3 linked regions of the Oryzias latipes genome follow. The protein of the gene in region 1 interacts with the protein of each later gene in a pairwise test. Links are inferred from orthologs where the notes say so. Each region holds a gene or a part of one and is shown on either strand. Other genes may lie near its edges.

What was found.
Region 2: the proteins of tnfaip3 (region 1) and trim23 interact in binary tests that used the Homo sapiens proteins (3 or more experiments, as listed by UniProt). The two-hybrid records come from large-scale screens. The link is inferred for Oryzias latipes from reciprocal best matches to the Homo sapiens genes TNFAIP3 and TRIM23.
Region 3: the proteins of tnfaip3 (region 1) and ywhag interact in binary tests that used the Homo sapiens proteins (3 or more experiments, as listed by UniProt). The link is inferred for Oryzias latipes from reciprocal best matches to the Homo sapiens genes TNFAIP3 and YWHAG.

Annotation. Positions count from the first base shown.
Region 1 is NC_019873.2:16,684,779-16,689,037, reverse strand, and holds the start of tnfaip3 (tumor necrosis factor alpha-induced protein 3), read right to left. Parts: upstream 2,852-4,259; 5' UTR 2,512-2,851; intron 1,399-2,511; 5' UTR 1,307-1,398; coding exon 1,003-1,306; intron 1-1,002. UniProt on the Homo sapiens protein: Ubiquitin-editing enzyme that contains both ubiquitin ligase and deubiquitinase activities.
Region 2 is NC_019870.2:3,055,284-3,058,446, forward strand, and holds part of trim23 (E3 ubiquitin-protein ligase TRIM23), read right to left. Parts: intron 1,201-3,163; coding exon 1,066-1,200; intron 995-1,065; coding exon 865-994; intron 785-864; coding exon 674-784; intron 1-673.
Region 3 is NC_019871.2:9,989,325-9,993,581, forward strand, and holds the start of ywhag (14-3-3 protein gamma), read right to left. Parts: upstream 2,878-4,257; 5' UTR 2,721-2,877; coding exon 2,634-2,720; intron 17-2,633; coding exon 1-16. UniProt on the Homo sapiens protein: Adapter protein implicated in the regulation of a large spectrum of both general and specialized signaling pathways. Binds to a large number of partners, usually by recognition of a phosphoserine or phosphothreonine motif.

The sequences.
Region 1 (4,259 bases):
TGAGTTACAGGAAGTTGCTTAGTTAATACTGAACTTCACTGTTTGCATATACTGCGATGCATGACACATCCTGCAAGTTCCTCATGCATCCAAAAACAATTGAAGCTACACTTTGAGATGGAATACATCAAGAAACCCCTGACATGAAACAGAACTATTTCCCTTGGAAACTTCACATTGTGAAGAAAAATTAACCAATTCATTTTCCATTTCCTCCTTTTGTTGTGTGCATTAACTGTGATTATACCAGTAAATATATGTCTTTTTAAACCTTACATCACATCAGACTGTCACAACAGACATCTTCAGGTTATATGTGAGGCAGAAAGCAATGCCTCCCAGCAGAAAATTTGTATTCAGTCACATTTGAGTGACCGCAGTCTGACAAGGGGGGTGAAACATGTGACAGAGACTGGATGGAAACATGGGGCGTGGAGGCATTTTAAAAAGATTCATTGACCTTCACACCCCTCACAGAGACACCCCCACTTGCACACACCCACAGAAAAAGCAGGGGATAAACCCCTCAACTTTTAAAAAATGGAAACACTCATTGCTGACCGTAAACAATAGTGCAGCGTGATGAATTTCCAAGTACAATGCGTCAAGGCCCCAAAGTAAATGTTTGTCTGCCTCGGGATGTTCCCACATTACAGCTCCTACGTAACAGAAAACATGACCCAAAGGAGCCGGTGTGAAAGTGGAACCCATGCACCTCGGTTGATGTCATTTACAGTAACCCCTCTTGTGAGTAATGACATCTCAGAATGTGCATATCAGATCCTCCTATCTCATGAACACAAACCTTCTCTGACATAGAAAATGAAACAAAAGTTAACGCCTCTGTGGGGGGATGACATCTGTTGTTTCTAAAATTGACACAAAAAAGTTTTGAACTAACAAAGGACCACAGGGTTTGTGTTTTCAAAAATCCAACCAACTTTGTGGATCTTTGCCTAAACATACTGCCCAAAATTTCTTCTCGGAAGTAGCATTTCTTACCGTTGGTGCGTAAAGGTACCATCTTCTTCAACTCCCGACACCAGTTGAGCTTCTTCTCCTGCTCTAACGAGGCCTGCATGGCTCGGTCCAAGATGGCGGCTTGAACTACCTCCCTGAAGGCCTGAGGAAAGTGGTTCATGGCGATCATCTCTAGCGTGTAGCGGTGCATTCCGCGCAGGTGATGCATGAGGCCGCTGGTGGAAGGCTTCACCACATCATTGGGCACTCGCTGGCGGATCTTCACCGCCTTCAGCAGGTTAGAGACAAACAGGAATTTGGGGAGGAAGTTCTGGCCCTGCGACATGACGGATGGCCAGGAGAATGGGTGGAGGGGAGGAAAAGGAGTGAGGAGAGGAGGAGGAAGCACCAGCCGACGATGACCCAGCAACTTGCAGGCTAGAGACACAGAGAGGTAAAACAAAATAAGTGATCTTACAACCCTAAACAACATCACAGGCTCCAAACCTAGATTTCACCTAGTATTTAATTTTCCTCAGGAAACCACCAATCACAGTAAAGGGTTCCTTTGTGGATCAAGTTAGGTGATTCTCCAAAAGGGTCGAACTTACGTACAAAGAAACCTTTATCTCCTGGTGTGTTCTAATACTGTGTTTTTCACTTTGACTGGTTTTTCATTGATCTCAAAGCTTTCCAACAAAAGACTGGTGTTTTCCAGAGTTACACTGCAGGCCACCCAATATCGCTAGGGCTTCTGGGAAGGTCACGAGACAGGCTTTCCCCTCCTGTCAACACCTTACCAGCTGTTAGCTTGCGTCAAACGTGTATTTAAAAGATTGCCAGGACTCAATATTTGTTAAAACGTTTTTTTCTGTACTTTATACATTCAAATAAAGTTTATTAGAGATTGTTGTAAAAAATTAGAGCTCAAAAGTCACGTGAAGGTGGTACAGAGGGTCTAGTTGAGCAGTTTGGGCTAAAATGAGAACTTTCCCAGCCTATTCATGAAGTTCTGAGCTGATAGTGAAACCAGTAAGTTGACAAATGAATGTCAGGCTTCAACAGCAGCAGGTGCAACAGCAGGGAAGGCCGTGCAGGAGCGCCGGTGACCGCGGTGCCGTGCTGCTGTGTCTGGGCTGGACGTCAGGGAGCCCGTGGACCCGCGGGTCGTCTCGGCATGAGCGGTGCGGGAGAGCGGCGCCCGCACGGTCGCGGCAGACTTCGCTGACGTTCGAGGCTTACGTAATTACAACGACAACTCCAATGGAAACAATGTGCCGTTCCAGACCGACAAGAAGCCGCTGCCAGCGGCACCGACGGCGCATTCGGTGGCGCGGAAGCGTCGCCCAGCCGCTTCACGGTGACGTCTTTGTAAACAATGGCTGTCAACGCCGCTGTCGTGAGCAGGCTTCACGCTTCCTCCATGTCCCCACAACCACGACCGTACATTTCCTCGAGGCCCGAGCGGGGATTCAGCCGCTTAATCTCCCGGAATTGTGCAGAAATGCCTACATGTGGAGGCAGAAGGAGGAGTTGGGGCTGGCGTCTTACCTGTGCAATATGTCGGGGTAACAACAAAGCCTCCCGGATGCTCAAGCAAGTCCTCTCTCAGCCACTTTACTCAGCCTCACCGCAGCAGTCTTCGGCGCCATTCACCCTTCTGTTTCCTCCAACAGCCTATCAGATCTATTTCGGAACCTTTGATGCTCGCGAAGCCTTTCGAAAGACTACAGGCGTCCACTAACACTAGTTTTTAAAAAAGGAAAAAAAAGAAAAAGAAGAAGTTAGGGGGATTTCCACACAGGGACTTTCCGTCCACCCATTTCCCTCTCTGTAAAAAAAAACGTGCACTTGCGGCACTTTGCCGCTAGGAGGGGCTCCACTGTCTGACTCAGTACCGTGAAACATATCCCACCTACTGAGCACAAAGAAGCGTCACTGAGGTAGACAGACAGGTCGCGTCATCCTCGATTTCATGAAATAAATCATTACCCCTCAGTCAGACCTCTCCAAGTTAAAAAGCCAGGAAACGGAACAAAAAACACATTCTGAGAAGCAGATGTCCCCTTTCTCACGAGTTGAGCATAAAATAGTCTTTCAGTGATGACGTGAGACTGTTTCAACTGTTTGGAAATTATGTTTTTCTATTCTTTTGCCGCTTTAGAAGCAAAAACGTTACTCCTGCTGTCATGCAGTAGTAACTTAAAAATATATTCAGTTTTCTCCTTTTAAAAAAAAGTTTTATGCACAATTTAAATCATATTCATTTTATTTTGTGCACATAAGAGACCAAACACAAGATCCTAATAAATACAAAGCTGCAAGAATGTAACCAGTTAGTGCAATAAACAAAACATCTAATCATGAGTGTGTCCTACGCACCACCTCAATATTTTTGTTTTTTGAGGTATTTTGCTCCAACAACTCTTAGCACCACGGTCTGCACAAGAATGTGTTTTTTTCCCACTTAATTGGCTGGTTGTATAACTTTATTTTATTTTATTTTTCCTTCACCTCAATTTTTTGCACATTTTTCCTTTTTTTAACCTATATGTTTCTTATTTGACCTTAAATTTGGATTTATACACAAATTTAGAAAAAGATGCCAGCAAAATATGCTTACTTGCAGCTTAAAAAAAACATGCTGCAACCTCAGAGTCTACACATCCCTGAACCAAATGTCACACCTGTCGTTTGTGGAGATTGTCAAGCTCTCAATGGCTAGGGCATCAGCTGCGTGGTGGAGCACACCAACCGTCTCAATGTGGTCAACCCAAGTAGGAGCGGTTAAACTTTGCTCCAGCTCTCAAGCAGAGTTTGCTGATGTTGCACATGATTCACCCTGTATTTATTGTGCAAGAAGATTCTCTGCTATTGTCTGCAGGGTTTGTGAAATATCAAACAGCCCCACAAGAAAATTAATTTTTTTATTCATTCTTGCTGATGTCTTAAAGCAGAAAACCCAACTTTAAATCAAATCCAGTACAAGATAGTATTTATATGACACATCATGTAAAAAAATGCAAACAAAATAAAGTCTTTACAAAACAATGTATTTTAAGTTGTTAATTATTCAACAACTAGATTAGAGACATGGGTAAACTACCATACAAAAGAAGAAAATTAACACAAATTGAAAAAAATACAACATCTTGGATTTTACTTACCTGTGGGAACAGGTGTAAAAGTTATGATCTCCACTGTGGAGAAATATACAGATGAAGCTTTGGGTCCTGTTTACCTGAGCAAAGCTTATAAAACTGTACTGAGATGCCCCTCACTTTCCACTCTCCTTTCTC
Region 2 (3,163 bases), on another chromosome or scaffold:
TCACTTGTTCTCTTGTACAGTCAATAGGCGGAGCTTAACAAAAACCATTTGATATCAAATTGATTCTAAAAACATTCTATCACATTTCATATTATGTCACTAATTATGCAAAAGTAAAAATAACATCCATTTGGTTTAAATGTAAATTGTTAAATAAATTGAAATCAAGTCAATCTGATTGGTAGTTCTACTCTGATCCATTTCTTTCTGCTGGAGCCTTAAATTGTGATAGAAAAGGTGAAAAATCATTCATTGATTGAGTAATAGCGGTTTATTTATAGAAGTCTATAGGTTTTTGGCTTCTGGGAGCCAGGATTTACCTCCTGTTTGGGACGCCAGGGGGGAGGAGTCACTCCGTCCAGTTTTCATATGCAGTCAGCTTAAAGTGAGCTTTGCACACAAGCATTTACTACAACTCGACTCTCTGGATGAGGACGACTACAGGACAAGTCTGTGGTGCAATTCCCTCAAAGTGAGTTTACAAAAAAAAGTCTAAAAACAACTTTAGATAAAGTTAAAAAAAAGTCTGTTCCTGCTGTTACTGAGACAATTTCCAGAAGACCCCATCTGCGAAGTTCTTGGTCGATAAAAAAAGAAACTAAAGCTGAGCAAAATCTCCTTTTTCATTTAACCACTATAAGTTAATCAGAAGAATAACAAGTGAAGCACCAACCTTGAGTGTTGAGATAATAGTGTTTCCAGAGCGGCCTCAGCTTATGCTTTCCACCAACGTCCCAGATGGTAAATTTTAAGTTCTTGTACTCGACGGTCTCCACGTTGAAGCCTCAAAAAAGAACCAGAACCAAGTTTCATTCAACTCAATCTTTCAAAGATCGTATGGTTAACCAGTGCAGACGTCTTTACCGATGGTTGGGATGGGCTGCATGAACTCGTCTTGCTTCAGCTTGAATAGAATGGTTGTTTTTCCAGCCCCATCGAGCCCCAGAGTCACCACCCGGATCTCCATCTTTGGTCCGATGTGAACTCGGTTGTCCTGAAGACACGTTTCAGTTTAGCTTTGGGTTTGTCACCGCGAGGCAAAGGTTTCCAAACGCAGACGAAGACCTTGGTGAAGGTGACGGGGATGCCGGCGTCCAGCTGGATGTGGTCTGCCAGCTCCGTGAACTGGTGCTGCTGCTTCTGAAGCGTCTCCAGTAAACAGCTGATCTCCTGCTTTGCCAGAACAACCCTGCAGTCGTCCTGCATCGGGAGAGAAGCCGCACGCAAACACAACACGGTGCTTTCAATGCCTTGGAACGCACCACTCTACTCCTACTGATTCAGAGAAGTTATCATGAACAAAAAAACTGATCCAAATTCTAAAACACACGAACATTTTCAAAATAAGATCAAGGCTCTGTCCAAATTCCCACCATAACCCCTAACTACTAAAAAACTCTATAGTGCTGCACTATGTCGAGCCCTGAATTTTAACAGCAATTCGGACGCCACGCTCACTACTTTTGTTTTAAACGGCGAATATGATGTCATCAATTTCACGAAGTGCTGTGAGCGTTTTGCGACGATTATTTATGAGTCCACTGTCTCCTGAAAATAAAAACATTGATGGTCTATTAAAAAAATACATTTTAACGCATTTATTTTGGTATAAAATGTTCCGACGCAATGCATTGTGGTCTATATTAAATGATATAGTGAGCATCGATGCACACAGGTTTTTTTGCAGAGACTTCAGGGAAATTTCCAGGGCACTGGATTTTGGAATTGTAGATTCGGACAGAACTAGAAAATGCTGAAGGCACTATTTAGTACGGTGGCCCAGAAGGGTCACAACACAACACATTAACTTTACACACAACACATTAACTCACAACACAACACATTAACTTTACACACAACACATTAAATCACAACACAACAAATTAACTTTACACACAACACATTAACTTTACACACAACACATTAACTTTACAACACAACACATTAACTCACAACACAACACATTAATCACAACACAACACAATAACTCACAACACAACACATTAACTCACAACACAACACATTAACTCACAACACAACACAATAACTCACAACACAACACAATAAATTACAACACAACACATTAACTTTACACACAACACATTAACTTTACAACACAACACATTAACTCACAACACAACACATTAATCACAACACAACACAATAACTCACAACACAACACATTAACTCACAACACAACACAATAACTCACAACACAACACATTAACTCACAATACAACACAATAACTCACAACACAACACAATAACTCACAACACATTAACTCACAACACAACACATTAACTCACAACGGAAGTAAAGCTGCAATGGAAGTGCTTTTATTCTGAAATTTCAACTGGGCTGAGCGGCTAACTGCCTCACAGAAAGTAACGTCACAGTGAGCTGTGGAGGGAGCATGATTTTCTACAAGAGAAGCTAGCAGCAGCGTTGCCAGATTGGGCGGTTTTGGGTGTAAATTTGCGGTCAAAAATGCATAATTTGTATGGTTTAAAGGTCGGTTCAGCGGGTTTTTTCCCACTCATGAATATATAATAGCGGCCTACGTTAGGCCGTGTGGCTTTTGGAGTTCTACTGAAGCTCCGTGAACGGCAGAGCTTAATGGACCGGGTTTTGTCATCTAACCTGTTGTTGGGGGAGTGCAACGCCCCGCCTCTTAGAAATTGTGTTCATTAAAGCCTGACAGTGGGGATTTCTCCACATGTGTCGTGTCAAGTGTTGGGGACCGCGTGCGTGTGTGAGAGGAAGAGGGAGGGGAAGAAAGGAGAGGAGCGCGTGCAGGGACTGGGAGGGTGTGTGGGTGGGTGGGGGGTGTTGGGGACCGAGTGAGTGTGAGAGGAGGGGGCTGAAGAACGGAGAGGAGCGGAGCACGCGCAGCGACAGAGAGGGGTGTGAGTGCAGCGCGGAGGAGTGTGCGTTAACATTGTGTAGCTTCTCTTGTAGAAGAAACATGCTCCCTCCACAGCTCACTGTGACGTTACTTTCTGTTAGGCAGTTAGCCAATCAGCCCAGTGGAAATTTCAGAATAAAAGCACTTCCATTGCTGCTTTACTTCCGTTGTGAGTTAATGTGTTGTGTTGTGAGTTAATCTGTTGTGAGTTATTGTGTTGTGTTGTGAGTTAATGTGTTGTGTTGTGAGTTATTGTG
Region 3 (4,257 bases), on another chromosome or scaffold:
CGTTCAGCTCTGTGACCTGGAAGAAGGAAGGCGCAAAAGGCTATAATTCATGCAATAGAATTTTGACTAAGAAAATAAATCTTTCACGAAATATTAAAAAAGGGAAGGCTTTTTTCTATCTTTTAAAAACTGTTGAAATAAATTTGCTAAGAACAATCTGTTATAAAACAGCTAACTCATCTTCCCCTTCCAGTCTGATTGCAATGACGGCAAATCACTCTATAGGGATGCACTTAAAGAATTTCTCCTGAGGCCCACAAACTACATTTGTAAAGCAATGAAAGAAAACAATGGAATCATTGCACAATGACAATTAGTTTGGCTCATCCGGAGAAAGGATCCATCCTTCTATCATTCGGTCAGTGTCGTCTGCAGTGACGCGAATGAGTGAGATTGGGCTTGTCCAATTCCTAGTTTCCATGGCAATCCATTCATTTAGACATCAGTAGCTCCAGCTGCCACGTGTACATCTAATGCTAGCTAGTGAGAAATTATATTGTACTTAGATTGCTCCAGTGAGGGGGGGGCACGAGAAGGATGGAGACAGAAATGTTCCCACAAGGACTCAAGGGCAGCTGCAGTGTAAATGAAAACTGTCACTGCACGTGTCCCACTGACCTTCTCTTCGGCTCTAAGTGACCTTTTTACCTGTTTTAAGCTCCGTGATGTGACATCACTCTGACTCGGACAGATAATTTTGGATCTGGATGGATCAGTATGACTGCACAGAGGTCATACCACTCTGGGTAAATGATTGGAAGAGGCGCTCTGTGCTGGCATAGATCGATGGAGTTTTCAAAAACGGCTGTTACATATGCAGGAAAGACACACTGATATTCAGCTGTACTATACCAACGCTTTCAATTTTTCTCTGTTCAGTCAGAGGGGCGTAAAGATGGCACACGTGACGTCACTAAATTGGCACAGATGGAATTGCCTTCACAGGGCCTGTCCAAAAATGCACACGCAATGATCCGATTTGACCGCAGGCGACAACTGTGAGGCTTTCGCTATGAAATGAAGCAGATTCATATTGATCTGATAATAATTTTTGTAGAGCGCACGAACAGAGGAGCACTTAAAATTTAATGATTGCAGCGATCACTGCTGGAACTGCAGCTATGCTCGGCGTACATCAAACATTTTGGCGTTCAATTGTCATTATTGAAGGGTTACAACAAGGTCATTAAGAGTGGCCCATCCGTTATTTGAATGACGAAGGAAATATTTGCTGGTGTCAAGAAAAAATTTTTTTTTTTTAACAATTGGATTGATTTTTCTGGTTTCACGCTGCTGGTCGAAGCTGATTTGTGAAGGCCATTTCTTTAATTGATAACCACGAAGAGCAGCGTTGCATTTTTCATGAGGAACACGAAGGTGACAGCCTCTCATTTGTCATTTGTGGATGCAGTGGCAAGGGATTCCCTTCGAATAAAAGGGCACCCCTCACCGCCACCCCATCCCACCTCTTCTTCAAAAGAATCAAGAAAGGCAAAGGAATCCCTCCTCACCACCTGCAACCAGAAACCCTTCATGGCAAACGATCCAAATAGGCTCTGATGTTCTACAGGGGCATTAAGACACAATGTTCCTCCCGTGCCGGGCTCTTTATCTGGGCATGGACTGGCAAGTCTGGATGCTGCTGGTTTCACTGTGAGCTGGTGTGACACAGCAGTTCTTAATGCCCACCGGTGCATCCGGTGTCAAAATTTCTTAAGGGCCCCAAAGGAGAGAGGGAGGGGGAAAGAGGAAGAAAAAGCAGACAAAGACTTAGTCCTGAGCAGCCAATAAGAGCTGAGAGAGCTAATGTGTGGCAAGCCAGCCATGTCATCCTCTTCCCATCATATATTGCACTGCTCAATCAGGGTCGTCCCCCTGAAATAACTTTAAATCGCCCCTGGATTTCAGCCCTGACACACTCAGGACGGACACGAGCACAGACGAGAGTCTAAAACGTCTGGGATAGAAATAAGTCTCTGCAATATGACAGCAGATATTCTAGTGCTGCCTCCTATTTGATGAAATGAAGGATTAGAGAGGCTTTTTCCTGAGGTGATCATGCTCAGATAATGCCCTTAAGCCTTGTATCAACATGAGCAGTTGTGGGTAATTATTATCGTTATAATTTAAGTGATAAGTATAAGAGAATGGGGGATGGGGGTGGAGGCAGCTCACATGATGTAGCAGAGGCTCCAACTGTATGAATTCAACATAATGGAGGGAGAGGAGGTGGGGTACTACAAGAGGGGGGGGGGGGGGCAGTTAATGGAAGTGAGCAAGGCCATTATATGATGAGCGGCAGATGATGCATAGTGGGGCTTGCATGCATTTCATTCTAATACCCTTTCAATAAAATGTACAACCGACAGAGGCACCGCCCAAACACCGGAAAGTCTGGACCCGACTGCTGAGTAAAAAATGAAAAATAATTTTCCAAAAAAAAGAGGACGTGAGGTGTCAACATTGCCTCAACTGTGGAGCAAATTATGATTAAATTCGAATTTTTTGGATCAGTGCGCCGGTAAAATTGAGCCAGCGTGCGCGCAGATTTACAGCCGTGGCGCGTTTTTACGCAGACGCAGCAGACTCACCATCACTCACACGATTTTCATCCTCTCTGGAAAGTGACTTACCGACTTCATAGCAGCTGCCATGTCATCATACCGCTCAGCCTGTTCAGCCAGCCTGGCTTTCTGCACCAGCTGCTCGCGATCAACCATTTTCTTCTATGATATTTGGTTGCCTAGTCAAGCTTATTCGGGTGGCTTATGTGGGTAAAATAATCGATATTTGAAATCGCAATGCAGTGAAACTTAACACGAGCCTTCTGCTGCAGCTGCTCTCTGCTGTCTGACTGAGCTGCGCGCAGACGGGACACCCTCTCCTCACCCCCACCCTCTCACATTCCTCCTCCTCCTGCTTCTCCTCCATGGGCTGCGTCATCACTCGGGAAGGTGGGTGTCTGTGCCAATGATGTAACGCTCCGTACATGGGGGATAGTGGGCCAGGCTTGTGGGCATGGCCGTGTAAAACGGCTGTGATTTCCAGGGCTTCAGCTTTCCGAAAGCCCCCTTTGTTTCCAAACCATTGACTGTATAGGAAGTGTGATGTTACTTAGAGCAAATTACTTGCTTCCGGTTCCAAAGAAATCCAATCAGTTTTTTTGCTATACAGTAATCCCCCCGTATTCGCGGGGGTTACGTTCCTCACCCCCTGCGAATAACAAAAATCCGCGAATGATTGACGCTGTTTTAAAACTCCCAGAGCCAGAGCCTCTGCAGAGTCAGAACCTTTTTCTGCCGTTTGGGTTCATTTCCAGAAGCTGGAGATGATGCAGGGTGTTTGGATGGCATCTTAAACGCGTAAACAATACTTTACAGTAAAGTACAGAGTAAATCGTTTTTCAAAATTTGCGGACTGAGCGCTGTTCTGTGCCTCATGCTTCTGACGTCACGTCATCTGTGGCCACCCGCGAATGGGCGGGGCGCGAATATTAAACCGCGAATGGGCGGGGGATTACTGTACAGCCGTAGAAGTGTTGGAACAATGCCAGTAATGCTACATTCACAAATACAACTGCCACCGCGCCATGGGGAGGCTTTGCCAGAATCTCACGCCACTTTCCGATTATTTAAATATTGTTGGCAATTTCTTTTGGGTTTTGTTTTTCATTTGAGTTCTGAATTTGAACTAAATCAGAATAACTTTTTTCTCATGGTGATTTTATATTTTGCTGAAACATCCTGATCTTGAGGAAGAAACTGCTTTTTTACCCCCACTATAGTTTTGAAGCTGAACACAGCTATGGGTTAACTTGAACAAAAGTCAAAGTCTTGAAACTAGATGTTAATTCTGTTACATAGACAAGGTTTAATTAAAAGGCGACCTTTGCCTTTTTTGCTCATAGTATCATGTGTTTGTCAGCATTCAAGCTTTAAAGTCCCACTCCAGTCATTTTTAATCTATTTAAAAAAAAATTTCCAGTGTTTTTTTAATTATCATTATACTGTTTTGGGGCAAAATAATTAAAAAAAAAAATTCTGTGTCCGTTTCTAGGACATAGTTTCTGCAGAGTGGCAGTGGTTCATTAGAAGTTTGCTCGGTGTTGGGTGTGGTTACACTTCTCCCACTAACTTACAACCCCAAGCTAACGCTAGCGGTGCAACAAAAATGGCGAGCAATATTGGAGCTATTCAGCCGTACCGTCTCTTGCCAGATTCCATCTCAGACGAGAAAAAAAGTAAAAGTCAATGGATG